4 linked regions of the Tamandua tetradactyla genome follow. The protein of the gene in region 2 purifies or fractionates together with the protein of the main gene of each other region. This does not show direct contact. Links are inferred from orthologs where the notes say so. Each region holds a gene or a part of one and is shown on either strand. Other genes may lie near its edges. The genes, in order: PLK1, MAVS, PLAAT4 and SQSTM1.

Region 1 (7,239 bases), on a different chromosome or scaffold from region 2:
TCACTCTGGTATCTGTGAAGATAGATCTTACGTCTACTCAGCACCCTCAGAAGCCAGGACAGTGGCTGGGATGAGTCCTCAGGATAATACAGATGACAAAAGCACAATTCTTATGGGCCAGTGATTTCTCAACTAGAGCCCACAGTAATCTAAGGTTCTGCAGAAGAGGTAAAGAGGCTACCTGCCGTACAGACAGATTAAAGTGGATGGTCTCCCTGTTTCTATGGAAACAACTTCACGTTTATAGTTCTATGCAGAAGAGAAGACTTAAGATTTTGAAAAATAGCTCCATTGCCAGAAAGTATGAAAGTCATTGCTACTACTCATTTCTAATTCTCCAGTACCCAGACCAGCAACGACAAACAGAGATAATACTTGAAAAGGCCCGGGTCTCTGCCTACCATGGAGTCCCCACTCCACTCTGATGGTCTTAACCTGAGAACACACCTCTTCCTGCCAGCAATAACTCCCAGTCTAATTCCTCTTGCTCAGTGCTGCTTCATAGATCAGTGTTTCTAAAACTTTAATGTGTGTGAGAATCACCCAGGGATCTTGCTAAAATCCAGATTCTGATCCAGCGGGTCTAGGGCCTGAGAGCTTGCATTTCTAGCAAATTCCCAGGTGGCACTGATGCTGCTGGTCTGCACGTGACACTCTGAGCAGCCAGGGTCTATAGCAAGGTGGTGGACATCTTTGGACAGCTACCCCACCCTCTCTCTCTGGACCCACGGCCCAGCTTGTGGGATACTCCAGAGTAACAAGGAAAGATAAGGAAATTAACTTTGTTTTTAGACTAGACTATAATCCACAGGATAAGGTTAGCCAAGTGAGATTCCAAAAGGGGCCCTGATGAGGCTGAGTGGGTCCTAAGACAGCTCCCTACTTACATGATGCACCCAATAGACCACACATCCACTTCAAAACTGTGCCCCTTCTTGCTCAGCACCTCAGGAGCTATGTAATTAGGAGTCCCACACAGGGTCTTCTTCCGTTCCCCGTCATATTCAACTTTGGTTGCCAGACCAAAGTCCCCTGGGACAGAGGGAGAAAGGGGGGAACTTGGATGCCTGTCTCTGCCATCAGTCAATGCAGACAGCTTGTTTGTGTCTATCAAGACCCAGGGTCATTTGATCCCACAGGCCTCTACTCCCTGCAACAACCAATGAGGTTTGCCCAGAAATCCTCCCACCTCACAGGGAGGTGCCTCCCAGTGCCCCATGCCCCACCCTTCCTCTTAAAAATGAGGGCTATGCGTCTAAAAGGATGCTTGGTAGGGACAAAAAATTCAAAAGCCTTTAGGGTTCAAGCCAGTAACCTCAAAGACTTAGACTAGGCAACAAGCTTGGGGACTAGGGAAGGGTGGGGACTGGCAAGCTACAGGGAGTCTAAAGCTGACAGTTGCTCTCAGCTCAGCAAAGGGCTGCCCTGAAGGAATGCTGCCCGTGTTGCTGGAGCTTCCAATTGTTTAAAAGGAGCTCCAAGGACATATTTTTATGTCAAGTTTCCCAGTTTAAAAATCAGAAACTAATTCCAAAAAAAATTTTTTAAAGACTTATAGGGGTACAAAAATGCTTCGGCAGGTAAGAAACTGGCTTGTGGGCTCTTTAAAATTTCTGGACTAAAGAGAGGATCCAAAGTCAATTATCAGCCCAGACTTCCCACTGTCCTCTTCCTCCTTCCCCCACCTCCTCCTCAATCTCCCTTCTTCCAGGGGTGTTCAGCACCCGTGGAGGCCCAGCACCTCACCTATTTTCACCTCCAGATCCTCATTTAGGAAGAGGTTGCCCAGCTTGAGGTCCCGGTGAATAACCCTGTTCCGGTGCAGGTACTGGCAGCCAAGGATGATCTGCCGCAGGTAGTAGCGGGCCTCGGGTTCAGTCAGTGCCTTCCTCCTTTTGTGCAACTCCAGCAGGGACTGGGCCAGGAAAGGAGGGGAAGAATGGGGAGGAGGCCTTGAGGTCCAGGTGCTAGGAGGGGTCGCTAAGGAAAGGCAGCCCAGGACTGGATCTGGACCCCGGGTGCATGCAGAGAAATGTGAGGAGGGGTCTTGGCAGGCTCTCCCCTTTCCGCAATCCTACCTCCATTCCTTCTCCAAGACAACTGCAAGCCCAGTCTCCTGGTAGCTCTATTCTCTGAAGCCTCTTACCCGAGACCCTTCTCCCAGCCCTACTCCGGAAGCTCAGAGTCCCCAGTAGCCCTCCGCGGGCCTTTTGCAGCTCCAAATCCTCTTTCAGACCCATCTCTTCCTGAGAAGCTCCGAAGTCGGGCCTCAGCCCCACTCTGGAAGCTCCGGGTCCACCCCAGTCCTTACCTAGGACTCCTCCCTTAGCATCTATTACCAACTCTCCCATCCCCACTTCCGATCCCTAACCCGCGCCCCTTCTCCCCACCCTGGGCAACACCTCGTGTCCAGGGGCCGCTTTCCCTAGCAGCAAAACGACTCCGGCTCTACTTAATCGGACCCCCTCCCCCAACAGCCAATACTTCCTACCCGCGATCTTTTCCTTCCCTGGCTCAAAGTTCCCACAACATCTTCCCCAGAGGCTCCGAGCGCCCTTTCCCGGCCCCCAAGCAGTTCCAACTCCCCAGCAGTAACCCTCACCCTCCGGCGGCACAGCTCCAGCACCACGAATACGAAGTCGTTATCCTCAAAAAAACCGTGGAAGCCGACGACATGCTGGTGGGCCAGGCTGCGGTGAATGGATATCTCCATGGACATTTTCTCCTTCTGGTGCGGCTTGAGCAGCAGCGACTTAGGCACGATCTTGCCCGCGAACACCTCCTTGGTGTCCGCGTCGGAAATCTCAAAGCACTTGGCGAAGCCCCCTTTGCCCAGGAAGCGGCCCCGCAGATAGCGCTGCCGGCTGCGCGGGTCCACTAGGACCTCCGGGATCTCTTTCGCCGGCGGGGCAGCCGCTGTGGCCCCGGGTGCCGCAACTCCCGGGGCCCCGGCCTTTCCAGGTTCGCCAGGAACCCGCGCCAGCTTCCCTGCAGTCCCCGCCGCACTCATGCTCCTGGAGTAGCTCAGCAGACCTAGCAGGGTAGGGGCGGACGCTCTGCTGCGACCTGCTCCTCTCCGGAATTCAAACGCGGCGCTGGGAACGTTACAAAACCCTTCGCGCCACTGATTGGCCGCGGGGATTTAAAATCCAAACCCGCCCGCCGCGCGGCACCATGGGAGTGTTCTGTATCGTAGCCGCCTTTAAACCCCCTACCCAGCACCGAAAAAAAAGAAAAACTTAATTGACGGGACGCTTGGGCAACAGACACGTGGGATGCCTGGGAAACCACACCTAGGAGACGAGTTCTAGGTTTCTTCCTTTCGCGGACCGCTAGGGGAGTTCCTGCAATTCCCATGCACCTCCTCCAGGAAGCTTTTCCTAATACCCTCCTCCACCTACCCCACCTCCCACTCCGTCTACCAAAATGTAAGCTAAAATCTAAGTAAAAACCGGATGCTCGCTAGGCAAATTCACCTCCATAACAAGTCATTTTAGCCCCCCTTCCCCAACCCCTACAAATAAACAGTCCCTCTGAATGGAAGAATGCTACTCAGAAGTATGATCCAGGGACCCGCAGCAATCATCATCAGCTGGGAGCTTGTTAGAAAGGCAACCTTTCAGGTCCCATCCCAGACCTCTTGTGTCAGAATCCCTTTCAACGAGACTGCTCAGGTGATCGCCCCACATACTGAAGTTTGAGAAGTACCATTCCAGAGTGCCCACCATGCAAGAAAGTAGTCTGATTTGCTCACTGCTATGTTTTCCAGTGCCTAAAATAGTGGACATTCCACCTGTTGTTCAGAGAGGGAAGGCTGGCTGGATGAATGACTAACAAACTGGCAGTCCATAGCCGAATTTGACCTGCAGGAGTGTTCTGTTTGGCCGCCTCACTTAAAAGAAAAAAAAGTTGAATTTACAGAATTTAAAATGAGAGCTCACATAAAAATTCACGTATGGCTTTCCCTGAAAAAATGTGAAACTCTGGCAATACCGGGCCTACTCATCTTCCCAATCAACAAGTCTCCACCTCTCCCCTTTGCCTTTTGTAGCACTTGTGTGGAACACCCATGAAATGGCAAAATGCTGGTTAGAAGTACCTTCACTGTGTTCCCTTAGAGCCCTATGATGTCCCTGACAGAACCCAGCAAGAATCAACCACATTATGATCACCTGCCTTCCAATTAAACTGGGAGGCATGCTGTCTTTTCAACCTGTGTCTCAGGCTTCTAGTGCAATACCTGATTAAAAAGGGTTACTAAAATATTTGCTGAATAGGAAGGTTTTTAAAAAGTTGTTTTTTATCCCCATGATGTATAATCTTCTACTCTTTTTCTTTTACATTTTTATTGAGATGCAGTATACTTACAGAAAAAGCATACATCATAATTGCACAGCTCAGTGAGTTCCCACAAACTGAACACACCCTGTGTAAACACCACCAAGAAGCCCCTGTGTCAGGGATCCCCAAGATCACTCCTTGGTTCGATGATTCACTAGGATACTCCCAGGAATGGGCATATGGTTGTACTCACAGCTATGATGCATTATAGTGAAAGGATATGAAGCAAAGGGAAAGGCACATGGGGCAGATTCTGGAGGAAACCAAGAAAAACCTTCCAAAAAAGTCTTCTCCCAGTGGAGTCACACAGGATGTGCTTAATTCTTCCAGAGATGTAAAATGTCCACGAGAGAAGCTAAAAGAGGCTCCATACCCAGGGTTTTCTGGAGAGTTTGTCATATAGGCACCCTCTGGCTAGCACAGAGAAAAACTCTAGATGCCCAGAAGGAAAGCAAATGCTCAGCATAAACTACATTGATTGTACAGTTTAGGCAAAGTGAGCCACCCTTATCATTTACAGTATGGTGAGAGCCTTTCTGAAACTAAGTTCCCAGATGCCAGCCAAGGGCCAGTCTTGCAAACAGCCCTAAGGAGAACAGTCTTAGGCTTCCTGTCAACTCTATTCTGCATAGTCCATCCCCTTGGCCCTTGACCAAGACTTCTTTAAGGCAGGACCCCAACACAGCAGGGTGAGACTAATCTGCAGCACCAATCTCAGTTATGCCCTTTAGGATTCCTGGAATTAGCCAGTTAAAACAAATCCCATTAACCATAAAAGCCTAGCTTAGAAAGCAGGTTATTTCCTCTGTTTCTGTGTTAAGCTTTTTTTTAACCTGCTCTGAGATATAAATTTGTGCACAGCCCACTTAGGCCAATGAATTGAAGCTGACCTGAAAGAATACCAGGGCTAAGGCAGTGTCATGATAGTTAGGGTGCAAAAAGTACAAACCCAGAGAACACACATGGTAACCCTGGAAACACAGTTTACAAATGTTAGGTACCCAAGCAGGAGAGCTACGAGTTGGGCTGTTCAGCTTCACAGGGCCCCAGTGTGGCCTTCAATTATGGGGCTTCCATCCTGGGGTTTTCAATCAAGCAAAAAATTCAATTCAGCTCTTGGTTTCAGAGGCGCGCACTGAGGCAGTCAGTTACAAGCATTTTTTGCTTGTCCACGATATGTGTTCATTCATCTCATGAGTGTGAATGACACTTGAAGGTATCTTTATGAAAGTGCAGGAACAGGGTCACTCCCTTGTCTCCCATTGAGTGCTGCCAGGTGTGACCCTAGGCTCAGCAGTTGGAATTCGAAATGCTCACAACACTTAGGCAGCACTGAGAATTTTCCTTCAGAAAGAAGGGAAAGCTTCCAGGAACAGTACTGAAAAGCAAAGATCAAAAGTGCCCTCCCCACTCCCTCATGCCTCCCAGGATGCCAGGTTTTGGGTTTTTTTCCTCTTTTGTTACAAAACCAGTGGGTTCCAGTCAACAACTCTAACTTGATATTTTTTTCAATCATCCCTTTTTCTCACCCAGGCCTTTACTTGGGGAGAGGTGTGTGCAAGAAGCACGAAAGCATTTTGGCAGAAAAATATTTTTTCAAAACTTAACCAGAAAGACACATTCAGGAATTAGTCAGGACAAAATCCTTAATTTTCAAAACTTTTAAAATGGGGTTTCATAACCTCCCACCCCTTTTGTCTTGATTATTTACCCAGTGAGCAGCCTGCAAAAGAGCGCTCCCTTTCTGAGGACAGCTGCTTTTAATAATCAATCTACCTCACTAAGGTGTGTGTAAGGGGAGAAAGGGGAGGTAAGCAGAGGGACTAACAGTTCATTGTTGCAAACTGCAAGCAATCTGGAAAGCTGAACACATCAGCAGTGAGCTATCTCCAGAGAAGGTGGAGTCTGATCTGCCAAAAGCAAGTCGAGGGGACACAGTCCCTGTGATGAGATCTCCCCCAATTCGCAGCTTTGGGCAAGAATCCCAAATCAAGAATCCAAATAGCCCCTGCATTAAGATCCAGGGCTGACAAAGTGATTTGATCAGTGAGTGGAAAAGTATTTGCAAAGCCCCCTTCGGGGAATGATGAGAACAGGGAGTTATGCAACTTCCCCAAGTTGAATTCTTGATATTCTCACAAGCAGTGTGGACAACCAAAGCTATAGGCTGAGCCCCCAGTCTTGGGGTTTGTTCATATGAAACTTAACCCCACAAAGGATAGGTCAGGTTTACTTAAAATTTAGGCCTAAGAGTCACCCCCAACCCCTTTTGTTGCTCAGATGTGGCCTCTCTCTCCAGCCAACACAACAAGCAATCTCACCACCCTCCCCGTCTACGTGGGACATGACTCCCAGGGGTGTGGACCTTCCTGGCAACGTGGGACAGAAATCTTAGAATGAGCTGAGACTTAGCATTAAGGGATTGAGAAAAACCCTAGAATGAGCTGAGATTTAGCATCAAGGGATTGAGAAAACCTTCTCAACCAAAAGGGGGAAGAGTGAAATGAGACAAAGTGTCAATGGCTGAGTGGAGAGGTTGTCCTGGAGGTTATTCTTATGCATTGAGTAGATATCATCTTGTTATTCAAGATGTAATAGAGAGGCTGGAGGAAACTGCCTGAAAATGTGGAGCTGTGTTCCAGTAGCCATGTTTCTTGAAGATGATTGAATAATGATATAGCTCTCACAATGTGACTGTGTGACTGTGAAAATCTTGTGTCTGATGCTCCTTTTATCTACCTTGTGAAGAAACGAGTAGAACATATGGAATAAAAATAAATAATAGGGGGAACAAATGTTAAAATAAATTTAGTTTGAAATGCTAGTGATAGATGGGGGTGAGGGGTGAGGGGTATGGTATGTATAATTTTTTTTCTATTACTGTTTTATTTCTTTTTC
Region 2 (7,882 bases):
AAGGGGCCAGGACGGAAGCAGAGTGTCAAGTCAGGAGGCCACAGCAGTAGATGGACGATAGGTGTTCTAGTTTGCTAGCTCCCAGAATGCAATACACCAAAATGGAAGTCTTTAAAAAGGGGAATTTAATAAGTTGCTAGTTTACAATTCTAAGGCCACAGAAATGACAAATTAAAGTAAGTCTATAGAAATGCCAGATGTAAGGCATCCAGGGAAAGACACCTTGGTTCAAGAGGACCATGATGTTTCAGGGTTTCTCTCAACTGGAAAAGCACATGGAGAACACAGCAATGTCTGCTAGCTTTCTCTCCAGGCTTCTTGTTTCATGAAGCTCTCCCAGGGGCATATATCTTCTTCATCTCCAAAGGTCTCTGGTTGCATGGGCTCTGGCACTCATCATTCTCATGACCCTGCTCTGTTGCTCTCCTGTCATTATCAAGCTTTTTCCAAAATGCTTCCTTTTTTAAAGGATTCCAGTAAACTAATCAAAACCCACCTGGAATGGGTGAGGCCACATCTCCCTCTAATGAAAGGTTAATACCCACAAGAGGTGAGTCACATCTCCTTGGAGATAACTAATCAAGTTTACAACTTAAATTATTGAATAGGGATGAAAGGAAAAGGGTGCTCCCACAAAATTGGTTTTGGATTAAATCATGGCTTTTCTAGGGCACACAAATCCTTTCAAACGAGCACATTTCACCCTCTGGACCCTAAAAAAGACATGTTCTTCCCATATACAAAATACATTCATCTCATAACAATATCAGAAAGCCTTAAAGCATTTCAGTAGCAATATAAATGCAATACAAAGTTAAAACTAGTACAAAGTCTCATCAAAGTCAGCTGCAGGTATGGTCTGTTCTAAGGTAAAACTCTCCTCTGGCTCTGGACCTGTAAAACTCAGAACAAGTTATTTGCTGCCAACATACAAAGGAAGGACAGTCATAGGATACACAGTCCCATTTCCACAGGGAGAAATTGGAAGGAACACAGAGGTCACCGGATCCAAGCAGTTTCGAAAACCTGTAGGGCAAAGTTCATTAGGTTTCAAGGTATGACAGTCATTTATCTTTAGGGCTTTAGAAAGTGGCAGTCCCACCCTTTCCAAGCGCCTACACAGTGGCTCGCCTCTCTGAGTGTTCCCACAAGACTGGATTAGGATTAAAGCATGGCTTTTCTAGGGTATACAAGTCCTTTCAAACCAGCACAATGAGTATGGCCAGGATGGTAGTCACGGTGGCAAGGGGTAGGTAGCTTCCTGATGTCTTTGGATGTTGGAGGTAAGGGAAAGAAAAGATTCGAGGATGACTCTTGGGTGCTGGGTGGGGTAATTGACCAAGGTAGAGAAGCCAGGGGAGAGGCAGCAGCACCGAGGGAACTTCGCAGCTCAGTTTTGAGCAAGTGTAGCATGAGATGTTATTGGATATCAGGAAGGGAAAGGGGTAGAGGGGAGGGCCAGTTTGGAGTAAAAACATGGGTGTCAGGCTTGGGTAAGACCTCCTGGAGACAGTGTTGCTGCACAGAGGACGTAAAAGCTGCTGAGGCAGTCAGCCCCTTGCCACATGAGAAATGGGGTAGTGGTCCTGTCTATATGTCCACAGCCTCACATTAGAAGACCTGCTTTGATAATCACCGTGTACTACATACGTTCTGATAGGGTGAGTGCTAGTGACAGGTCAAGGAAGCTCAGGGAGGTGGGGTACTGAGTAGGGCCTTCAGGAGACAAGCAAACTCTGTGGTGGGTAATGGACCCCTCTCTCCTTCCCTCCCTATGGCACCAGGTACCAGGAAGGAGTCAGATGAGGCTCTTCTGCTGCATCTCAACCTCATCTTTAAGGGCAAGTGGGGGAGAGCAATGTAACCCAAAAAGAAATGTTTATGTATCTTTATTGAGGGACTACTATAGAAAGGCACCTCCTAAGGTTCTTCCATTAACTCTCCCTGTGGTTCCAAGAGAGAGGAAGTGATGTCAGGTCCCACAGCGAGCCAGTGGAGGAGAATTTGAACTCGGATCTTGATGTTTCACAGCAGTACACCATATGCCTTGTTGGCACAGTGAGATCCACATGGCCCCCTGTATTCAAGCCCAGGAAGGGTCTGAGGCCACTTTGGTGGGGCAGGGAAGTCATTGGGTAGGTGTGCGCCTGGGAGGATACTCCACTCATTCTCTTCTCTTGAAAGTTTTTGGAAGAGGTTGAAGACATCTAAGGCAGCCACTGTTTGCAGTTCACAGACTGTCCTTCCAGATGTTTACGGGGCTTTCGCGGCATCCAAACAAAGAACGGTGTTTTTGTCTTATTCAGGGTTTTTCTGGAACCTCCTTCCCGATTCAAGAGAAAGGAAGTGGCCTTGCGTTCAGGGTGAGAAGCGGAGGGTTTTCAACCTGACCGATCCAGGGAGCATTCCAAGAAAAAAATAATCACCCACCCGGGAGGAAGGAGGCCTCAGATCCTTGGCCCGGGTCCCTGGGCCAGACCCAGGTCCGGGGAGGGAGGAGGGAGGGGAGGGTGTTTTTCCATGCAGTTATCACTGCCAGGAACTCCCGGACACAGGGGAAACTGTCAACCCTAGACCCCGAGGCGCGGCCGCCGCCTTCACGGGCTCGCGCGCTCGGGCTCGCGCTCGGCCTCGCCACGAGGTCACCCTGGGCCTGGGAACAGTAGGAGGAGTTAAGGCTGGGTGCCGCGTCGTCTTCCGGACCAAGCTCCCCTCTAGCCCGAGCCGCCGCCCCGCGCCGCCGCCCGCGGGTGAGTGCAGCACGTGGACCCCCATGATCCCCCCATGATCCCAAGCCCCATATGCCGCCGGACCCTTTCTCCCCGGAGCCGCCTTGCCCCGAAGCCCGCGCGTCCGGCGGACTACCACTCCCCCTCGGCTCCTGCCGCCGCGGCCCACCTCCACGAAAGGCCTCGGTGTCTCTGGGCCAAGAGACCGGGCGCCCTGGTCGGCGACCTTACCTCTGGAGGCCGGACCCGGCGACCTGCAGCTGCAGCCTCCAGCCGTGAAGTCTCGGGGCGGGGCTGACGGGCGCGGAGCCAGGGGCGGGGCCGCGCGCCCATTGGCGGCAGCGGGGGCGGGGCCGCGCGTCCGGCGTGGGGGCCTGTGGGACGGGGGCGGGGACTTGGCCTGCGGCGGCCGGGAGCCCGGCCGAGGGGCGCGGAGCCGCGTGCCTATTGGCCCGGAGGCGGACGGGGCCACGCGAGGGCCTGTGGGATGGGGGCTGGGACTTGGCCTGGGGTGAGAGGCGGGTTGCGTGGGGTGTCCGGGCTGGGTGCAGTTCCAGTTCCTGCTGGGGCAGTAAGTTATTTTCTTCCCTTGTACATCGCGAACAACTTCCAGGGGAAGTCTGCGGTCTCGCCAGAAGCGAGGCAGGCGGCGGGCCTCGGAGTCTCTGGGTGGTTTGGAGTTCCTAGCTCATATGCCCTGGGTGAAGCTCTCCCTCTTTCCACCGTGCTCTGAGGGGTGAGGGGCTTTAATCTCCTTGGTTCATGAGTCCCAAGTTTTGACACACAGGCGGCATTCAATAAACGGCAGCCCTGGAAAGCAGTCTGGTGGTTCCTCAGGAAGCTAAGTATAGAATTGCCATATGATCCAGTAATGCCATTACTAGGTATATATTCAGAGGACCTGAGGGCAAGAACTCAAATGGACATTTGCACACTGATGTTTATACCAGCATTATTTACAATTGCCAAGATATGGAAACAGTACAAATGTCCATCAACCGTGAGTGGTAAACCAAGCTGTGGTATATACATACGATGAAATAGTATGCAGCTGTGAGACAATAAATTTATGAAGCATGTAATAACGCAGATGAACCTTGAGGACATTATGCTGAGGGAAATTAGCCAGAAACAAAAAACAAATACTATATGGTCTCACAAATACAAACTAACATGAATGGGCAAACTTGGAGAATTGAAGTTAATAACATAGGCTATCAGGAGATTGAAATAGGGTAGAGAAGGGACATTTGGTGCTGAAGGAATACAGTTTGTGCAACAGGACTGATTGTAAAAATTCAGAAATGAATAGCACAATAGTACCTGATTGTAGTACGATAATGTTAGTAAACTGAAAGAAGCTGAATATGAGAATGATGGAGGGCTGGGGGCACATATGACACCGGAAGAAAAGATAGAACGTAAAGACTGAGAAGGTATAATTAAGGAATGCCTAGAGTGGACAATGATGGTGATTAACTATACAAATAAAAAAAAGTTTTTGGATGAGGGAAAACAAATGAACACCAATATTGCAGGCTGTTGAAAATAGAAGGTATATGGGAAAAAGTACAATCACTGCAAGCTAGGGTCTATGTCAACAGTGACATTGTAATATGCTTCCAGTGAATGTAACATAGGCCTTATGCCAAAACTAAATGTCAAGGGGAGGGTATGGGGGAGAGGTATGGATTATTTGTGGAAGAAAAGGAAATGTCTTTAGATAGATTACGGAGGTGAAGGCATGTCTATACACAGGCTGGATTGTATGATGTGTAAGTAAAACTGTTTAAAAATGAAAAAGATAAAAACTTTAAAAATAAATAAATGTTCAGGTGACACTCAGGGATCACGAAGGCCTGTGTGCGCAGTCAGGCGGTGTGCAGGCTGGGCGGGAGGCAGGGGTGGCCCAGTGGGTGGGTGTAGGGCAGAGGCCAAGCAGGTGGTGAGCCACACAGGAGGCCCCCTCCGCCAAAGGCTGTGGGGCACCCCACCCCCACCCCACCCCATGCTCTTCGCAGTCCACTGCTGGGTGGACGGCAGCAATGATTGAGCCTCCACTATTTCAGGGGCAGGTCTTAAGAGTGTAGGGCCCATGAAATACTCGCACAACAACCAGGTAGAGTAGGTTTATTCTTCCTCTTTTATAGAGAAATTAGAATATTTGGGAAAAAGTTTGGTAGTTTTTACTAAAGTTAAAATGTATGTCAACCCTGTGATTCACCAATCCACTCCTGGGTATATGTCCACCAAGAAACATGCACACCAGATAATGTTCACAGCAGTTTTTATTCATAACAGCCAAACTCAGGAAACAATCCACGTGTACACCAACAAGAGAGCAGACTGACAAATGGTAGTATATTCACATAATGGAATCATATAGACCACAATGAAAAACTGTTGATACTCAAACACGGATAACCCCACCACATGATGCACGACTGTTGAAGGCAAACTCAGATGAATATGTGCCACCTGTTACCACTCTCCTAAAGTTCAAAATCAGGCAAAACGAAAATCTACATAAATAGAAATCATTGCTAGTTATCTCTGGAGTGCTATTGTTCTGTTGGGAGCACAAAGGTGCTGTGCTTGTTTGAAGCTGTAACCCAGAAAAGGCAATGTTCTTTTAATCCATTCCTGTGGGTGCAGACCTATTGTGGGTGAGACCTTCTGGCTAGCTTATTTTAATTGAGTTGTGACCCAGTTCATTCAAGGTAGATCTTTTTTTTAGATTCACCCTTTATTCCTTAAATCTGCAAAATAAACTGTCTGCAAAGATGGTAAAATATACCAGAAATGTGTAAATTCAAATAGTTCTAATAAGTCTTTTGTTGAATTTTCCTGAGGAAATAATAGGATTTCTCTATTTAGCATTGCCATCTGTATAGGGTAAGCTCTTTAATCATAGAAAATTAAACATTAAGAAATTGTGTATGATTTTTCAGCCAAATAAACTGAAAGAACTTTCCACATACTTGTCACATTATATCTGTATTATTTAGCATAAGACTAATTTCTGGATTTCTCTGTATCAACTGCTGCATTTGTGGATTGGCCATAATTAACTGCCTCATCAGGTCAGGATTTGACAGTATGCTCTGGACAAAGGGATTTTCCATGATCTGAACCATCATTTCAGGGTTGGACATACGCTGCCACTGCATCTGGCTTTGTAGTTCAGAGAAGTTAGATGTATTCAAACCCAAGCTACTCAGACCTGCAAGCCTTCCAAGGCCACCTAAACCGAAAGGGTTACTAGGGGCAGAACCAGATGTGGAGCTACTATTAGGAGCAGATGATGTGGTAACATTGCTTCCAGTGGTGTTTGTTTGCTGAGCTGAATGAACCTGAGGCCTGTTTTGTGATTTGATGACAAGGTGAACAGTAAGTCCATCATGAATTCCATGCTGACTCAAAGTATCTTGATCTTTTAAAATTTTTCCAGCAAATATTAACACAAGTTGGTCAGTATGCGATTTGAAACACTTAGAGATTTCTTCCTTGAACTGGCTCGTTTAGGCTGCGGCCGCACTGGCGTCCATGGACCAAGGTGAGCGCAGCCCCCCCCCCCCCCCCCCCCCCCCCCCCCCCCCCCCCCCCCCCCCCCCCCCCCCCCCCGCTAGCGGCTTTGGGCGAGTCCTGCACGGCCGCGCGTGAGCTCCATCCTCTCTCCCTCTTGGCTGCGCGAGCGCGCCGCGTCCGCCCTCTCTCAAGGTAGATCTTAATCCTTTTACTGGACTCCTTTATGAGAGGATAAAGGACAGAAAAAGCTGAGAGAGCTTAGAGAAAAGCCCCAGGGGAGCCAAAAGGACCCACAGAGGAAGCCACTGGAACCAGAGCTGAAAGCAATGAAACCCGGGAGTGAAGGACCAGCAGATGCCGGCCTCGTACTATGCTATCTGACAGAGGAACCCCTGATCCCAGCAGCCTTTCCTCAGAGAAGGTATTATCCTGTTGATGCCTTAATTGGGACATGTTCATGGACTTAGTACTGTAAATTTGTAAATTAACAAATCCTTGTTGTAAAAGCCAACACAGTTCTGGTTTACTGCATTCTAGCACCTTTAGCAAACTGAAACAGGTGCCTTCTAAGGGGATGAAAATGTTTTATATCTTGATACGGGTGGTAGCTACCTGGGTTTGTGCATATGTAAAAAATGCATAAGCTGTACACTTAAGTTTGTTACATCCTCTGTACCACAATTTTTTAAAGAAAAAAAAAAAAAGAGGGGTTAAGAGATTTGGCAGAGATAACCTGCAAATGACTAAGTTCAGTCCCAGCTCCAAAGCCAGTGCTTCCAAACTCGATCACAGGAAGAGGCCCGATCGCTTTTCAGATGAGATTTTATTACTTTCCTCAGTAACTCTGGATATCTCACCACCTTTGGCAGCTGGGAAATGTTCTTAATATCAAGCCTGAACCCATCCAACTGTAAATAAAGCCATCTCTGCCTTGGTTGGTTAGCCAAGACGGGGTAAACTTTGGTTGGAAACTAAACCCCCACCCTGTAGCACACTCCAGTGGCCTCACATCTAATCCTCGCCAGAAAAGCACTGGAGTGTGCTACAGGCTTCCAAGAGCAGCTGCCAACCCTTCTACTGGACCTCAAGGGATATTAAAAAACCCAGCCTACTGTGGTCTAAGGGGTTTCGTGTCACCTGTTGGTAGCTTTTAAAAAATTTAGACAAAGGAAGGCACAACAGCATGTCTGTGGTATTCCTGCTGAAAATGTATAAAATGAAGCTAATTGTGAGGAGACATCAAACAAACCAAAAATGAGGGACATTGTAGTGCTGTGCTGTTTAATATAGTAGCCATTAGTCACATGCAGCTATTTTTATTACAATTAAATAAAATTTAAAATCAGTTCCTCAGCCCTGCTAGTCACATTTCACATACTATTTTGAGCAGATAGAGGCATTTCTATCGTCATGAAATGTACAGTTAAAAAAAAAGTTCAGCTGGACAGCACTGAGGTACAGAATAACTCTTCAAAAATGTCAAGGTCATGCAGTACAAGGAAAGCCTGGAGAACTTTTCCAGACCAAAGGAGAGTAAAAAGACATGCGACTCAATGCAACGTGGGATCCTGGGTTGGATCTTTTTTCTTTTCTTTTTCTTTTGCATGGGCAGGCACCGGGAATCG
Region 3 (8,059 bases), on a different chromosome or scaffold from region 2:
TATTCCGTTACAAAGTTTAATATAATTGGAGAGGTCAGTATTACGAAAAGGGCAGATTGCCGCCTGACAGGCGGTGTTAGCATTTTCATAAGCGAGATGCTTGATAAAATCCCTTTCGCTTTCCTGATCACCAAGAATGCACTGGGTTGCGGTCTGTAGCCGACTGAGGAAGTCAGTATACGGCTTATTGGGGCCCTGAACTATTTTCGATAAAGAGGAGGTGAGAGCCCCCTTTTTGGGGGAGTAGCCTCCATGCTTTAATGGCGGCGGACTGCACCTGGAGACCAAGTCCTCGGGGGTATTTTGCTTGGGTAGAATTAAGATGATAAGGACTTGACCCTAGAAGCTTTTTTAATGACCAGGATTTTGTGCTGTCCTTTAAGACGTTGCTTTCAGCATACTTTTTACACTGCTCCTCAGAGTCCGCTTTCCATAGCAGGAAATCGCCACCTGATAGGGTGGCTCTGGCGAGCTGTGACCAATCATTTGGAGTAAGTTCCTTTTCGCTAATATTGTCTAGCAAAGCCAGAGTAAAAGGGCAGTTGCTCCATAATCATGCATGGCTTTTTTTAGTTCTTTTAAATATTTTAGATTAATCCTTTTGTATTTATTGATTCGGGGTGCTTCCTCCCGCTCGCAGCTACGCTCACGGCTACATTTGGATTTTATTTCGTCCTCATCATTAGCTTTCTCGCTCCCTTCCCCGTCACTGCTTTCCTGTTCAGACTGAGGCTCGGAAGCTTCTGACCTTGCCTTTTGCTGGCTACGGAGGACCGGAAAAGTGTAACGGGCACAGCGGGGGTTAGAGGGCTTATTTTGGTTAGTCATTAGAGAGAGAAGAGAGCGCCTGACTGGCGGTTTGCAGGGAGTTAAGGAGGGGATTATTTTGTAACTACAGAATTACATTCTGAGTGGGGTCTGGAGAGGGGACATGCATCTTTTAAGGCATTTTCTCCCTCTCTACAAAGCTCTAGTATTTCAGGGTCTGAAGGGGAAGTTTTTATGGCCTCATTGATTAAGTTCCAATAATTGAAGGCTGTAACTGGTACCTTTTCCGGCCCGAAAGTTTTATAATAGTCCTGTAAACAATCTCCTACTCTTGACCAGCATTTTTGGTTTATGGTCCCGTCAGCAGGGAACCACGGGCAGGTTTGATAAACAAACTGAAAGAAATCTCTAAGGTCCTTTTTCTTAACTCTCGCTCCTCGCGTCTTGAGGGTTTCTTTTAATTGTCTCACGTAAAGCTCATGTGTACTAGATTCCTGTCCCATAGTGAATTTTTTAAATGAAAATGAAAGTGATTTACTGCGTGATCCTTCGCTCTTCTCTTTGTTCGTCCGTCGGTGCGAGGCAGTGTCGCCGGGGCTGCATACACAGGCGAGTTACTTCTGTGGCAGACCGGGGTTATGGGAGGGCCCTCCTCATTTTTCGGCGCGCGACGCTTCTATCTCTCAGCCAGCGGTCGAGGCCCACGTCGGCGCCAAATGTCCTGACCCGCAGGACAGTCAACGGGGTCCGCCACCTGCTGAGGGAAGAATGGCTATGGGACAGAGAGACGCAAGAAGGACAACAAGACAGGATTCTGATCAAGTTGCAAATTTTATTAACCAAGCCAGGTGTATATATACCGGCTTGGGGAGGGAGTAGGGTATGTAGAGCATTATGATAGGAGGGAGTTCGCGCCGGCGGGAAGGACTGGTTAGATAATTGGTGGGGAATTCGCGCCGGCGGGAAGGTCCCGGCGGGAACCTATTTCCGTGAAGAACCTTGTTGTACTATATAGATGCCATTGCATTAGCCGGGGTAGCCATGTTGGCTCAATCGCTATCTTAGGTTAGCCTCTGGTCCCCAACATAATCCAAGTATCAGCATGATTAAGAAGTGTATTGAAGTTCTGATAGACAAACAGTGCATCGAACGCAGCCAATCGTCAGCAGATGAATACAGTTACGTAGCGTGATGTTGCTGTCCTCCAAGTGTGGGTGTAAGAAGATCATTGCCATCACCATTTGGTGTGTTCCTGTGGGAAAAAGCAGGCCTGTGCCTCCATAATTTGGTTATTTGGCAGCCCCTGTTTTTCTGCTGTTTACAACATCACCAGTGCCACGTCATGAGCATCAAAGAAAATGCCTCTGGATAATTTTAAGCTCATGTCATTATGACATTTCTGAAAACTTTATTGAAAGAATGAGTGAAGTATTGCTGAAATGTGGAAATTTGGTTGGGTACCATGCTTTTTCTCCCCCTCATGTTTGCAGTTGATGTGTTTTATGTTTTTTTTTAATGTATCTTAAAGGACAAAATTAAAAAACCTAAATATTGTAATATGACAGATAACCTAATAATTGTATCTTCATTAAAACGACAAACATGATATTGCTGCTTGTCAAATAAAAAAAAATAAAGAAAAAAAAAGAATATATATGTGTGTGTGTTTGTGTGTGTGTGTGTAATGTGGTAGGCAAACAAGCTAGATGACATATCAGATCCTTCATTTTCTCATGAACCCCCTTGGTGGCCTCACCCAGGCTAATGGCTTTCCATGCTCTCTCCGGCCCAGACCTGACCCCTGAACTTCAGATACTGGGATATCCAGTTGTGCTGTCCACTCAACTTTCCAAACAGAATGTATGATGGATTTCTCAAACACTGCCAAAACTAAACTCCAGATCTTCTCCTGAAAAATCTGTTCCAGCTGCAATTTATTAATCTCATCTGATGGTGTTCATTCTTGACTTTTCTTTCTCTAGTTCCATCAGTCAGGAAATCCTGGTGGGGGCTTGACCTTCAAATTGGGTCAAGAACCCAATAACTTGTTACCACTGTCTTGCTTGGAAGACAGCAAATTGTTCTTTCTGCCTCTCCCTTTGACTCCACAGACTATTCACAACCAGGAACCAGATGGACTCTGTGAAAATATAAGTCTGGCCATAACTCTCCAACCCTCCAATGGCTCCCATCTAGTCCAGAGGGGACAATCAACCCCATCCATGGCCCACCCAACTCATGCAGATCAGGTCCTTGTCACCTCAAAGCTGCCATTTTCTATGACTTTCTCTCTGGCTCCAAATACACTGCCAGGTCTTGTGTAGCCCTGAGGCCTTTGCAATTACTGTTCCTTCTGCCTGGAATACTCTTCACACTTATTATGCAGGACTCACTCTCTTACCTTCTTCAGTTCCTTACTCAAAAGTCACCTACTCAGTGAGGTCTACCCCAACCATTCGTCTAAAATCATACCGCCCCATTACCCCTTGTCCCCATTCCTTTCTTATTTTTCTCCTTAGCATTTTGGCCATCTAATGTATTATCTATTTCACCATGTTGCCCAGTGGCAGCAAATTTTATCTGTGTTATTCACTGGTAGATCCCAAGTGCATATAGCAGTACTTCGCACATACAGTGAGCTCAGTAAATACTTGTCGAACGAACCCCAGATAAAGTCCCTCTGGGTTAGTCATCTTGGAGTTAGTCTGCAACAGTTAGTCCTGCTTGCTTACCTGGATAACCTCTCCCCTCATGCCTTATCCTCCCTACTTCCTTTCTTACATGCAAGCTGACATTCTGACCTCTTACTGGCCATCACAAGGAAGGAATCTAGAAATAAATGATTGTAATCAGTGAGGATTTGCAACTTCCTTCTTTCTTTTTTCTTTCTCCATGTTACAAAGAAAAAAGAAAGGTTTACAAAAAAAAAAGAAAAAGAGGTTTCTTCCTCACCTGTGTTAAAAGAAAAACTTTTAATGCAATTTAAGAACTCTCAGCCTTATGGAGTGATTCACGAGTCAAATGGCATCTCATTCAGAAAGTAGAAGGGAAGTCTCCCAGGGGGGTGGAAAGGGGAAGTTTATACAGGACAAATGTGGAAGCCAGTGAGGAAACATTCTGATAGGCTTACATTAAGTTTTCCATTTTACATAAATGGGGACTTTCAAAGTACAGAGCAGATATATATTGATTAGTATGATATGCTTAGACCTTCTGATAAGCTCTCTCTACTGGACAGAAACTGCTTTGTCATCAGATGTTGCTTATCGGCAACCCTAGTGGAGAGCCATCTCTCCTTCTGACCTCCCTTGCACAGCTTGTCCCAGGATAACGAAGCCCTGATGTTGATTGAACAGTGAGAAGCCCCTCCCACAGACTGATGTGACCCACCAGGAGTGCTGCAAACCTGTCAGGGTGGCCCTATCCCCTTTGATTGTTTGGGGTGGAAAATAGCACCCAAGACTGGCCAACAAAGAGTGGGAACAAGTCATCAGGGTGTGATGGAAAAGATTTTGCTCCCTGGTAATAAGAGTGAGAAGGGATAAAGAATCACATTCCTTTTCTGAGTTTGGACATTGTCCCTTGAAAATGTGATTTTCTTGAGGCTGCTGCAGCCATATTGGGCCATGCAGGGAGCCACTATGGACACAGGATCAGCATGATGGAAGGACGAAAGGCCTGGGCCTTGGGTGGCTGGGGTGAGCTGCTGGACCAAACCCGAGTCACCTGCCTCCTGCCTTCCTGTCACCAAAACACTGAACTTCTAGGCTGATGAAGCTGCTTTTCATTTCGTTCTGCATCTTGCAGCCAAATGCATCCTAACAGGGCCCAAGCCTCTCTAGGCTAAGGCACCTGCCACTTGCAGTCTTTTCTCATGGGTTCCAGCTCTCATCTGCTCTGCCCCCTGAGCCCTCTAGCCCAATATTTCCAATACTGACAGATGAAAATGTCGTCTGAGGGTGGGAAAGGGGGATCAGCATCTCTCTGCCGCTGAACACTGTCTTTTCCGGGATGGAAACAGCTGCCAGGATTCTTGTTGGAAGAGACCTGGGTTTTCCCAAGCAGGGGCAGGAAGGTGGGGGCTCTCTTCCCACTCTCACTGCTGTCAGGGGGCTTCCAGGCACCAGTGATTCCATATATGAATGAAGGTAATCAAGAGCCTTTGCATTTACAGCAAGTAGCTTCCTTTAAAACATTTTCTTTCTCAGAAGTGTCAGAAGGAAACTGAAAGTGAAATTCTCCACTTTGGTATAAAGCTGGCTCGTGAGCAGTAGAGAAGGAACCACCACGCACTGGCTCCAAGATGACTTCGGTAAGTTCCGACAGGACTTTCTATCAGGGACTCTTTTGGAAGCTTTCACCATAACTTGTTTAAAAGACGTTGCAAAAGTTGATATTTGTAACAACTTTTTACTTGATATTTTGAGAACACACACAGTTTTGATGGTTAATCAAATGGTATTTAAGATATTGTTTAATATTTAGAATTCTAGTAACTCTGATATCTGTATTTGTAGATTTTTTTTCCATCTTTGTTTTAATTTTAAATTGGTTTCTTGTTGCTTCCTATTGAAATGGAGCTCGAAGGATATTAAGGAATGACGAGAAAGAAAGAAAGACACAGATGGGCTCAGGGGGTTTGAAGCTTAACTTTAACAAACAACAGATAACTTTATTCTTATCCAGATCCTAGTTAAATACTGCAGGGTGACAAAAGGCATGCATGCATTTCTTGAGGGAACAGAGAGCTTATCTTTCAGTGTTCTCTTCCTTCATACTTAACATAACCATTTGGGGTAAACATTCTTTCCCTTCCAGACTGCTCTACATAACAATCTCCACAGTTTACTGCCACCACCCTGAGGCCAGCTCCTCCCAACAAATTCTACAGATCTTGTTTTAACCCTTGGCTCCTACAGTTTATGAGACATATTGTACAAGCAGGCTTTACAATGATTACTTAGATTTTTCTTTTTTTTTTTTTTTTACATGGGCAGGCACCGGAAAATGAACCCGGGTCCTCGGGCATGGCAGGCAAGCACTCTTACCTGCTGAGCCACCGTGGCCCGCCCAGATTTTTCTTTTTAATGTGCCTATGGATAAGCTAATCAAGACATCTATTTTAGGTGGTTAATAAGATTTCCATGTAAATTATAAAAATATTTGTATCTTCATATTTTTTGATATGAAGATACAAATATTTTTATAATTTACATGGAAATTGAATTGAAAATGTGATTTTCTTGAGGCTGCTGCAGCCATATTGGGCCATGCAGGGAACCACTGTGGACACAGGATCAGCATGATGGAAGGACGAAAGGCCTGGGCCTTGGGTGGCTGGGGTGAACTTCGTATTTTCCTGAAATAAGGAAAATATTTAATAGTATATGTCATTACTATAACAATACAGCCTGGTTGCCTTCATTTTAAATTGGTTCATGTGATGATTATATGGATACTTTATTTAAATATGGCTATGGTTAAGCAAACTAAGATATCCATTTTTAGTGGTTCTAAGGGTATTGTTTGTTTGCTTAAATTAAAAAAAAAATGACCTTGCAAGATAGCAAGGTCTTTGGGTCACATCTGCTTCTTCTCTGAGTCAGGCACACAGCCAGGGAGTGGGGGTGGGGTAGTAAGAGGGGGCGTTGCATGATGCGAACTGTTTGCTTGAGCCAGGGGGTCCAGCTCCAGATAGGGGCCTACGGAGGGAGCCAAACCCCGATCTGGGGAAAGTGGGCAGGTTCCCACCTTGCCTGCCTCTGTCGCTAGCTGAGATTCCATCCCTTCATAGCCTCAAATGGCTCTTTCCTCCTCCTCTCACTTGCATGTCCCTTTCTCCCTCTTTATAAATTGCATTTCACCTCTGAGCCCTGCTGAGCCCTGGCTGATGCTGCAGCCTTGAGATGAGAATAAGAACCTGGCAGAAGTCCTGGCACCACTGAGCCCCACCTCTCCTCTAAGGCTGTTTGTATCTTTGCCCCTTACATGCCAGGCCTTTTGCTGAATCCTCAGATTCAGGGTGAGAGGGACAAGCTGGCAGGATCCCATCCTGAATGGAGCACTAAGTCCCAAGGACGAGCATAGATGGTGGCAGGAAACTGTAGACCCCTCGTCATCCCAGCAAGGAGAAGTGGAGGTTCTGAAGGAGCCAGGGACCCAGCGAGGGCTGGCGAGCCAGGCTGGAGCTGCCAGGACAGCTGCCCAGGGGAGAGGTTTCCAAGAGGAGGGAGAAGAAGAGTGGTTGTGGGGACGGTGGTGGGAGGCAGAAAGAACCAGATGTGTAGAGGAGCAGAACCAAGAGAGAGCACTATGGGGGGGGAAGAAACCACCCTTTTGGGAAGGCCAGTCTGGGCACCGGGGAGACTGGAGGTGTGGGGGCCGGGACAGGAGGCAGGGAGGCCAGTGGGGTGGCCGTGGCAGTCACGGAAGTGAGGGCTGGGAACCCCTCGACCCAGTCAGTGGAAAGGAGATGGGATGAGGAAATGAGTTCCAAGAAACACCCTGAGTTGGCATTGCTGGGACTAATGACTGGACATGGGCAGGAAGGAGAGTTCAGTGGGACCCTTGGGTTCCGACTGCGCAGCCTGGCAGGTGGTTGTCACTCACTGAGAAAGGGTACAAATCAGAGGTCGGGAAGCTGGGAGGGGAAGGAGGCGAGAGGAGAGCCAGCTCAGCCTCTCCTGGCCCAGTGCCCTGGGGCAAGTCCTGTCTCCTGGGGCTTGGAGTGATGATGGCAATTATGTCGGAAAAGCACTCTGTGCCTGGAGCCCACCCCATGGCTGGAAGCTGGGAGTCCCTTGGGACGCTCACTGAGATGCTGCCAGCTCCTGTCTCTCAGGTCGGCAGCCCCACGGGCTGGGCAGGGGGAGAGTCTGAGGACAAAAAAGTGCCTCCCATGGCCGCAAACAACCGCAGGGCTGGAGGACGGGTTGAGGCTTTGAGAAACCCGAGACTCCACTAACTGATTCTGCTCGGGCCACACCTGTCCTGGGAGAAGGGGCCTGAGCGCGCAGCCCATGTGTCAATGCTCAGAGCCCCTGCGCCACCCCCATCGCCATCCATGCCTTTCTCACTCCTGAGCACACACACACACCCATGTGAATAGCATGCACTCGTCCTGGAGAAACCTCCTCTCCCACATTCCATGAGGGTCACTTTTTTCCAGGTTTCCAGCTCCTGGTGCCCTTTGCCCCAGGGAGAGTCTCTTAAGAGTGTTGGCTGGGCTGAGGATCCCGAGGCGATGGGGGTTGGGGGGTGTCAGGGTCTCGTGCCTACCCAGTGTTCTCCC
Region 4 (8,001 bases), on a different chromosome or scaffold from region 2:
AGTTATACAATCATCTTCAAGATTCAGGAAAAGGGGTTTTCAATAAAAATGGATTTTTCTTGAATAAATGAATGGAATGAAATCGATTCAAGAAAAATGAATTTCCCAAGACCACAGTCACATTGTAAAAGTTGTATCTTTAGATGATCCTCTTCAAGAATCAAGGCTAGGGGAACACTGCTCAACAGTTTCAGGTAACTTCCCCAAGCCACTCCATTCCACCATAAATGAAAACTGCACGTCCCTAGAATGCCTATGAATAACCTCCAGGATAACTTCTTGACTGTTTGAAATCTCTCAGCCACTGACACTTTACTTTGTCTCATTTTTCTCTTCCTCCTATTGGTCAAGAAGGCTTTCTCCATGCCACGGTCCCAGGTCCTGGCTCATCCCAGGAGTTCTGTCCATTATTGCCAGGGAAGTTACACCGCTGGGAGTCACGTCCCACGTAGGAAGGAGGGCAGTGAGTTCACCTGCCGGGTTGGTTTAGAAAGAGAGGCCGTGTCTGAGCAACAAGAGGCTCCCTGGGTGTGACTCTTAAGCACAGTTATTAGTAGGCGTAGCTTCTCCTTTGCAGGAATAAGGTCCACAGGGACGAGCCCCAAGGTCAGGGGCCTGGGTGGTTGCTCTCTCAAATGCTGCAGGCTTCCCTGTGGAGGAAGGAAAAGTCTGGGAGCTCCGATGTCGGCACATATGTGGTTTGGTCTGGAAATGATGCATGGCCCCCTCCTCGCAGGTCCTTGGCCAGGACTAGCATGGCTTGGTCCCACTTCAAGGGAGTAGTAGGTGGTTAATATCTGTCGAGTGTTTTGATGTTTCTTGGCATAAAACGGGTGCTACATGGGTGATACCCATACACTATTAATATCATTTATTATTGGGAAGTTCTGTCAACAGAAGCCGCTGGGGGTTTGAGGGTGACAGAGGGGACAGGCTCAGGCTGACCCCCTGGGTCTGGCCACCTTGTGTGGCCCTCACTGCCATCTGGAACCCTGGAGCGGGCCTGGGGCAACCACCCACCCCAACCAGAAGATGCTAAGGGCCTGCCTTGGGGTGGCCCTGGAGGGCACTTCAGGAGCCGGCTTGACACTCATGTCCACCTCGGACCCAGGGGGTTACATGACTCAGGCCCAGCTTGGGTCCCATGCCGACCCCACCCTGTTCTCTATGGTAGTCCCCCAAGGAAAATTTCCATCCTAAAAAGGAGGGGAATTGTGCAAGGCCCTGGAACTCCTGCCCTAGCCTCAGCCGCAGCCAGAACACAGGTCTGGGGGACCTCGGCTTCTCCTCCAGGACCCCAGAGGTCAAAGGGGTGCCAGGGCCCAGGGGCTGGTGGTCGTGCACCCAGACTTTGAGGATCTGGATGGGTCAAGCCTCAAGGCCAGACAGCTCACTGGGGAGGTTTGAGGGGGGAGGGTACTGCTCTGTGGGAGGTGGGGGGAGGACACTGGCCCGCCGGGGGTGCAGCCCGGACCCAGCCGCACCTCTTCAAGCAGCTACTCCCTCCACCTGGCCCCAAACTCTCCCCCACCCCAGAATGCGTGGGACAGCCCTCACCCCACCCGCAGCGCCTGCTTCTCCCCCCAGCGGCCCTAGGCCTCACCTAACCTCAGCAGCGGCTCCTGGGCTTCATCTTGCATTTCCCTGACCCCTTGCCCCCTGTCCTCTGAGAACGCTCTGTGGGCCTCTGTAGGAAGGGGCTAAAAGGGGGTTACACCCAGGGCCTGAGGCGTTTGGGCTGGGGTGGGGTGTCAGGGAAGGTCCCATTGAGGAGCAGACAAGGGGGGAGGCTGCCTTGCAGGGCGTGGGGAGGGGGGTCCAGGCCGGGGAAGAACCAAGAAGTCACCGGGCGAGGGAGTGGGCATGCGCAAAGAGTGGACATGTGCAGGGAGAAGTGGGCACGTGCACCGGGCAGGGGCTGTGGCCCGTGGGAGTGAGGGCCTGGGGAGGACTGGCAGGCGGGTCCCCTGGCCCTGAGCAGGCCCCACGCAGTGCAGGGACAGGTCCGGCCAAACCGCCTTGGACCCCTTCCCCTCCCAGGGAGGCTCATCTCTGGGGCGGTGGGCTGCGTGGGGAGGGGCCGCCCCTGTGCTCCTCAGTCCCCTTTAAGGCCTGCCGGGCGCAGCTTGCTCAGGGTGCCCGCCCCGGACCCGGACCGCGCCAGCGCGCGGGGGGCGCCCCAACCACCGCACTGCCGCCCATCTCCAGGCGGGGCACGGCGGGGCCGCTTGTTCGCGCCGAGGCGCCAGGCGGGCCGGGGTCAGCGCCCGCGAGGTCGTCCCGGAGGGCGGGTGGGCTGAGCGGGCACCGGGGGGAAGGGCCGCCGGCGAAGGGTACACAGGGGGCAGCGGGGAGGGACCTGGCTGCCAGCTGTGCCACCCTGCCTGGGGCCCGCAGGCAGCCCACCCGGCCGCAGGTGAGATGCCACCGAGAGGGGCCGGGGATCCCCTGCTGACGGCGCGGGTCACGCGGCGCTGACTCACGGCCGGCCGGACGGGCCCGGCCACCTGACCACGCAGCCCGGGGGCGGGGAGGGCCCCGCCAGGGGGTTCCGGTGCTGCGCGGGTTCCCGCGCCCCCGCCGCCTTGGGGGAGGGGAGGCCAAGGGCCGCGCTCGGGGCTTCTGGGGGAACCCTCACCACGGTTCCAAATGAGAAGGCGGGAGCGTGCCAGGGGGCGACCTCGGGGTCCCGCTGCTCGTTCCGGGTCCCGACTCCCACCCCAGACCGGCTTTCCTTGTGCGCCCGGACCGGGCACCCCACCCACGCGCTCCCTCCCCGCTCGCCAACATTCCCCCCCCCCCCCCCGCCCCCCCCCCCCCCCCCCCCCCCCCCCCCCGCCTTTCTGCAGGGCTGCCCCGGGCAGGGCAGGGAGCTCCTCTTTGGAGGTCCCTGGGCAGGGTCAGCCCCACCCGGGGTCAGTGCCTGCTGCCTTCCCACAGGCAATCACTGCACCTGACAACGCGCCCTGCCCCCCAATCTCCCTTGGTCTCTGGGTCTCCCACTAAGCCCCCTCTGAAACACCACGAATCTGACCACAGATCTGACCCTCCCACAGGCCCCCCACCTGGGCACTCCAGAGGGCCACATACCCTTCCCGCCAGGTCTTTCCAAGGCACCCCACAGGCCCTGGGCTGGGCTGCCCCAGGTCGCTGCCCTCAAGTACAGTGTTTCTTGGTTACTGTCTCCCAGCTGTTCTGACGCCCCTGCCCTAAGGCCCACAGGCCCCTGGCTCCCAACTGAGGCAGGGGGATCAGCAGAGAGCAAATTCCAAAAAAGCAGGCAGGCCACAAGGAGGGAAGCAATAAACGGCACCTGCGGCAAACTGACCCCACCTGAGCGAGTCATCCAGGGCCAAGTGTCACAAGGAAGGGAGAAGGGGAAGGTAGTAAAATAATTAATAAAAGTTACAAAAGGAACAAAAAACAATAAAAGCATACCCTTGATATTGCTATTATCAACACCAACACCATCCTATCAACCCTAAAGAACACCCAGGGCTCTATCTGAGACCCTACAAAGGTTCCGTGCACTAGGGGAACTTTCCAGAAACTTACAGCCTCCAGATGGTTCCTAGGCCAGAGAAGTCCTGAAACCCAGAGGGCCCAGCCTCTCCAGACATCAGCTGGTTCCATCCCCAACCCATATTATCCACAGCCCCTTCCAACATGAAAAAGTTAGAATCCCAAATACCCCTAAAGATTGGGAGAAGGATTAAAGGAGGAGGAGGAGTTAGAACAGAGAAGACAGGATTTAGCAAATGTTGAATGACATTCAGAGTATAATTGCTGAGTCACTATATACCGATATTTCTGTTGGCCTCCAGGGTCTTGGAGCAGCTAGAAGGAAAAATGAAAAATTGTGGAACTATGACCCACACAAAACTTTAAACTCTGTTTTATAACTACTTGTTAAAATGTACTTGGAGATTTATTGCTTTGTGTATATATATTTCATAAGAAAAAGTTGAAAATTATAATAAAAAGCAAGCCTTCCCACCGTGTCCTGCTCCTCTCATCTCTTTCCTTTTGGGAGAGCGTCCTCTCGCTACTACTTTTGTGTGCCCAGTACAGGAGCCGCCACGGAGAATACTGAATAAACTCTGTCTGCTTCCCGGCTGTGCTGTGCCCTTGAATCCTTTCTCGAGCCCTGGCCAAGAACCTAGGAACCTAAAGCCACAGCTGGCTGGCGCCCACTGAACTGAACCCTGACAGGTGGGCATCTGGGCCGCGATGACCACTCGGTGACACCTGACATCCTGCAGGGCTGGCGCCCCCCTGTGCTCTTCCAGCACCTCTCAACTAAACTGGGGGGCTGTGGAGCTCAGGCCTGAGTCGGGCGTGACCGTCCACCCCGTTAGGGCTCAGGCGTGGGCGATGCTGTGCAGTGCCGGGGGAGTCCGCTGCTCCAGGGGCCTGGGGACCCTCAGCGCGTTAGAACGGGGGCTGCCTGCTCCCGGCGGCCGGACCCACCGAGGGGCCTCGGCCCCCCGACTCTGCTCCGGGGCAGCCGCGAGGCTGTAGTGCTGCGTCACGACCAGGCCCAGGTCTGGGGAGGGGCCTGGGGTCCCGCCCCTTCCCCCGGGACCAGCGCCTCAGCCCAGGCTGCCGCGGTATAAGCACAGGAACCCGCCCTGCGGGGGCCGCCTTAGGGGACCCCTGCACCTGCGGGCGGCGAGGGAGGGGCCGTCGGGAGGAGGCCGCGGGGCCGGGGTCCGCGGAGGGCGGCCCGCGCCGGGGCCCCAGCAGGGCGGCTCGCGAGTGCGGCGGCGGGGCGGGGCGGGGCGACGAGGCTCCGCCCAGGGGGCGGGGCAGAGCGGGGCTCCCGCTCTACAAAGGCGGCGGCGGCGGCGGGCCGGGCGCAGTGCCGGCGCGGCCATGGCGACGCTCACGGTGAAGGCGTACCTGCTGGGCCGCGAGGAGGCGGCGCGCGAGATCCGCCGCTTCAGGTTCTGCTTCGGCCGCGAGCCCGAGGCCGAGCCCGAGCCCGAGCCCGAGTCCGGGCCCGGGCCGGGAGCCGACGCCCTGGTCGGCGCGGGGCCCTGCGAGCGCCTGCTGCGCCGGGTGGCCGCCCTGTTCCCGGGGCTGCGGCCTGGGGGCTTCGTGGCGCACTACCGCGGTGAGCGGGGCGGGGGTCCGGGGCTGGCGGGCGCTCCTCCCTCCTCCCTCCCTCCCCCCACCCCTTCCCAAGCCGGGCAGGGGCGGGTGATGGCTGTGCCCGGCCACAGCTGGGCCTCGGGTGGCCGCCGGGGGCAGGGAGTTCGAGCACAGGCCCGGCCCGGTCCGTGCGGGCTGCCAGGCCCCCCAGCGGCGCTCCGGCCTGGGGGCGTGAGGCTCCCCTCCCCCGCCGGGCACTGCAGATCCCGCAAGGTCGCCCCCGGGGCGGGGTCGGGACGGGCGGCGGACACTCGGGTTACGCTGACGTCCGCCGGCTGTCGCCTCCCGCTGCCAGCGCCGGGGGCGGGGTGGGGTCAGCTGATGTCCGGAGACCGCAGGCCGAGCCGGCGCGGAGGAGGGCCCACCTGGGCCAGGCGGGAGAGACGTGCGAAGCCGCCCGGGTGTCCCCCGGCATGCGCGGGGCAGAGGGTGGGCTGGGGGAGGGGCTGTGAGCGCAGGGCCGGGGGTGGGCGGGGGGTGGGCGGGGGAGGGCCTGTGAGTGCAGGGCCGGCTCCTGCAGGCCGGGAGCTGGGGGGGGGGGGGTTGGGGGGGCCGGGGGCGGGCCGAAAGGGAGGGCGGGGCTGCCGGGCCCGTCCCGTGTCTTTTTCCTTTGTAATTGTTCCGTGGGCTGTAGTTGTTGTCCGGGCAGGACGCTCAGGAGCGTGCAGAATATGGTGGTTTCAGCACGCTCACACATATTTTAGGACCTTTTCATTATCTTAAGGGACAGACCTGTACCCTGAAACACTCGCGTTCGGGTCTTTCTGACGTTTCCGTGTTTTGGCGCTGCCCTGTCCTTGCGGGGTTCAGCTGATGGGGATGCGCGGCGAGGTTTGGGCCGCAGGGTGGGTCCGACAATAAAACCCGGAGACCGCGCACCAGTCACAGGCTCGGAGCAGGCCGGCCCGGGGCCCCCCCTTCCCGACGCCGTCACGGTGGCGGCGGGTCTTGCCTCCCACCCTGCGGTTCCCCGGGACGGGGTCCCCCACGTGCCCCCTGGCACCGGCCTCAGCCCGTTTCAGCCCCGCAGGAGGCGCGGGCACTCACCTCTCTTCCCCACACCAGATGAGGACGGCGACCTCGTGGCCTTTTCGAGCGACGAGGAGCTGGCGATGGCGACGTCGGGCGTGAGTGACGGCACCTTCCGCATCTACCTGAAAGGTGAGGGGCTGCCTGCCGACCCCGAGGCCAGGGGGGCAGGGGCGGTCTTAGACGCTGTGTTCCTGCTGCAGAGGAGGCGCTGGCGCTGCGCGCAGGGCCCGGGGTCTGGAGGCCGTCGTGCAGCGCAGCCGGGTCTGGGGCCCCTCCGCTGCCCCGCTCACCGCCGGGTGCCCAGGCCTCGCGCCGCCCGGCATTGGCCGCGCCCCGCCTCGCTGCACACGGGGTCAGCCTCGGCGCCCCTCCCGCCCTCCGGGGGCTTGTGCCACCAAGGCCGGGGCGGCTTCGGGTGCTTGGGGGTTGTTTGAGGAGCCAGAAGCTGCTGCTCACCGGCCGCCCAAAGCAGCTGGGTCCTGGACAGACTCCCAGGACCTGACCCCACTGGCTGCCTCCCCTCCCCACAGAAAAGAAGGAATGCCGGCGAGACCACCGGCCCCCGGGCGCTCAGGAGGCGCCCCGCAGCTTGGTGCACCCCAACGTGATTTGTGACGGCTGCAATGGGCCTGTGGTGGGGACCCGCTACAAGTGCAGCGTGTGCCCCGACTACGACCTGTGTGCCGGCTGCGAGGAGAAGGGCCTGCACCCAGAGCACGGCAAGCTCGCCTTCTCCAGCCCCCTGGGGCACCTCCTGGAGGTGAGCAGAGTCTGGCGGTGGGCCTGGGGTGGTGCGGGGATGGGGGTGGGGGAGCCACAGACCCACAGCCCCCCCGTCCTTCTTCTGCCCTCTGGCAGGGCTTCTCGCACAGCCGCTGGCTCCGAAAGCTGAAGCACGGGCACTTCGGGTGGCCGGGCTGGGAGATGGGCCCACCGGGGAACTGGAGCCCACGGCCGCCCCGCGATGGGGAGGCACCCCCCGGCCCCTCGGCGGAGTCAGGTGAGGCCCAGGGCGCCTGCAGGTGGAGGGAATCCCACCCAGTGGGAGTGTCATTTCCATTCCTCATGGGGAAACTGAGGCAATGCAGTGCTCAGACCCGAGAGCCCTTCCCGCTTCACCCCTCTGGGTCCCTGTAGCCTGCCCCACTGTCCTCTTTTGTGCCAGCTGTCAGGAGATTCAGCCAGGCTTGCTCACCTTTAACGCATAGTCACAGAGTTAGAAGCTTACACGTAGCTGGTGTCCTGTTTTCAGGGTAGTGTCTCCTCCTGGTTGTAGTAATGTCATTGTGTCTTTGACAAGGTACCGGCTTGGTTTCTGAATGACCTACATAGGCTGTGGCCATTATTTTGGTTCTGCTTGTCCTGGGCCTGTGCTGGGGGAAAGGTGTCCAGGACGTGGCCTCCTGGGAGGGGGAGGGGGAGGGGAGCTTTGTGGGCCTAGGCTGCAGTCAGAGGTGCCCCTGGGACAGCAGGGGCCTTGGGAAGGAGCAGGCAGGACCGCAGCAGGCATCAGAGTCACCAGGACATGTGGTTGGAATTAAACATGCCTCCCACTTCTGCTTTTAGAAGTCAAAGCTGCTGGCCCACCAGAAGATGCCAGTGTCCATTTCCTGAAGAACGTAGGAGAAAGCGTGGCGGCTGCACTCAGCCCGTTGGGTAAGTGGGCTTTCTCCTCTGTCTGAGAGTTTTGGTAACCCCGTACAAACGTGGGGTTTTTTTTGCGACACTGACCTCAGATGATCTCTGCAGAGGAGCGGGTAACTTGTGTGTCCTGGACACTCCCGAGTACTTATTGCCCCACATCAGCCTTTGCCA

Evidence for each region.
Region 1: the proteins of MAVS (region 2) and PLK1 purify together in Homo sapiens (affinity purification with mass spectrometry; 3 studies listed by BioGRID and IntAct, counting the BioPlex papers as one, with this or other methods). This does not show direct contact. The link is inferred for Tamandua tetradactyla from reciprocal best matches to the Homo sapiens genes MAVS and PLK1.
Region 3: the proteins of MAVS (region 2) and PLAAT4 purify together in Homo sapiens (affinity purification with western blotting; 4 studies listed by BioGRID). This does not show direct contact. The link is inferred for Tamandua tetradactyla from reciprocal best matches to the Homo sapiens genes MAVS and PLAAT4.
Region 4: the proteins of MAVS (region 2) and SQSTM1 purify together in Homo sapiens (affinity purification with western blotting; 3 studies listed by BioGRID). This does not show direct contact. The link is inferred for Tamandua tetradactyla from reciprocal best matches to the Homo sapiens genes MAVS and SQSTM1.

What each region holds. Positions count from the first base shown.
Region 1 is NC_135349.1:33,375,533-33,382,771, forward strand, and holds the start of PLK1 (serine/threonine-protein kinase PLK1), read right to left. Parts: upstream 3,121-7,239; 5' UTR 3,011-3,120; coding exon 2,603-3,010; intron 1,916-2,602; coding exon 1,747-1,915; intron 1,033-1,746; coding exon 888-1,032; intron 1-887. UniProt on the Homo sapiens protein: Serine/threonine-protein kinase that performs several important functions throughout M phase of the cell cycle, including the regulation of centrosome maturation and spindle assembly, the removal of cohesins from chromosome arms, the inactivation of anaphase-promoting complex/cyclosome (APC/C) inhibitors, and the regulation of mitotic exit and cytokinesis.
Region 2 is NC_135327.1:56,981,065-56,988,946, forward strand, and holds the start of MAVS (mitochondrial antiviral-signaling protein), read right to left. Parts: upstream 3,042-7,882; 5' UTR 2,961-3,041; intron 1-2,960.
Region 3 is NC_135335.1:11,186,668-11,194,726, forward strand, and holds the start of PLAAT4 (phospholipase A and acyltransferase 4), read left to right. Parts: upstream 1-4,923; 5' UTR 4,924-5,071; coding exon 5,072-5,080; intron 5,081-8,059. UniProt on the Homo sapiens protein: Exhibits both phospholipase A1/2 and acyltransferase activities. Shows phospholipase A1 (PLA1) and A2 (PLA2), catalyzing the calcium-independent release of fatty acids from the sn-1 or sn-2 position of glycerophospholipids.
Region 4 is NC_135346.1:1,371,954-1,379,954, reverse strand, and holds the start of SQSTM1 (sequestosome-1), read left to right. Parts: upstream 1-4,852; 5' UTR 4,853-4,875; coding exon 4,876-5,116; intron 5,117-6,219; coding exon 6,220-6,315; intron 6,316-6,716; coding exon 6,717-6,946; intron 6,947-7,014; coding exon 7,015-7,186; intron 7,187-7,752; coding exon 7,753-7,842; intron 7,843-8,001. UniProt on the Homo sapiens protein: Molecular adapter required for selective macroautophagy (aggrephagy) by acting as a bridge between polyubiquitinated proteins and autophagosomes.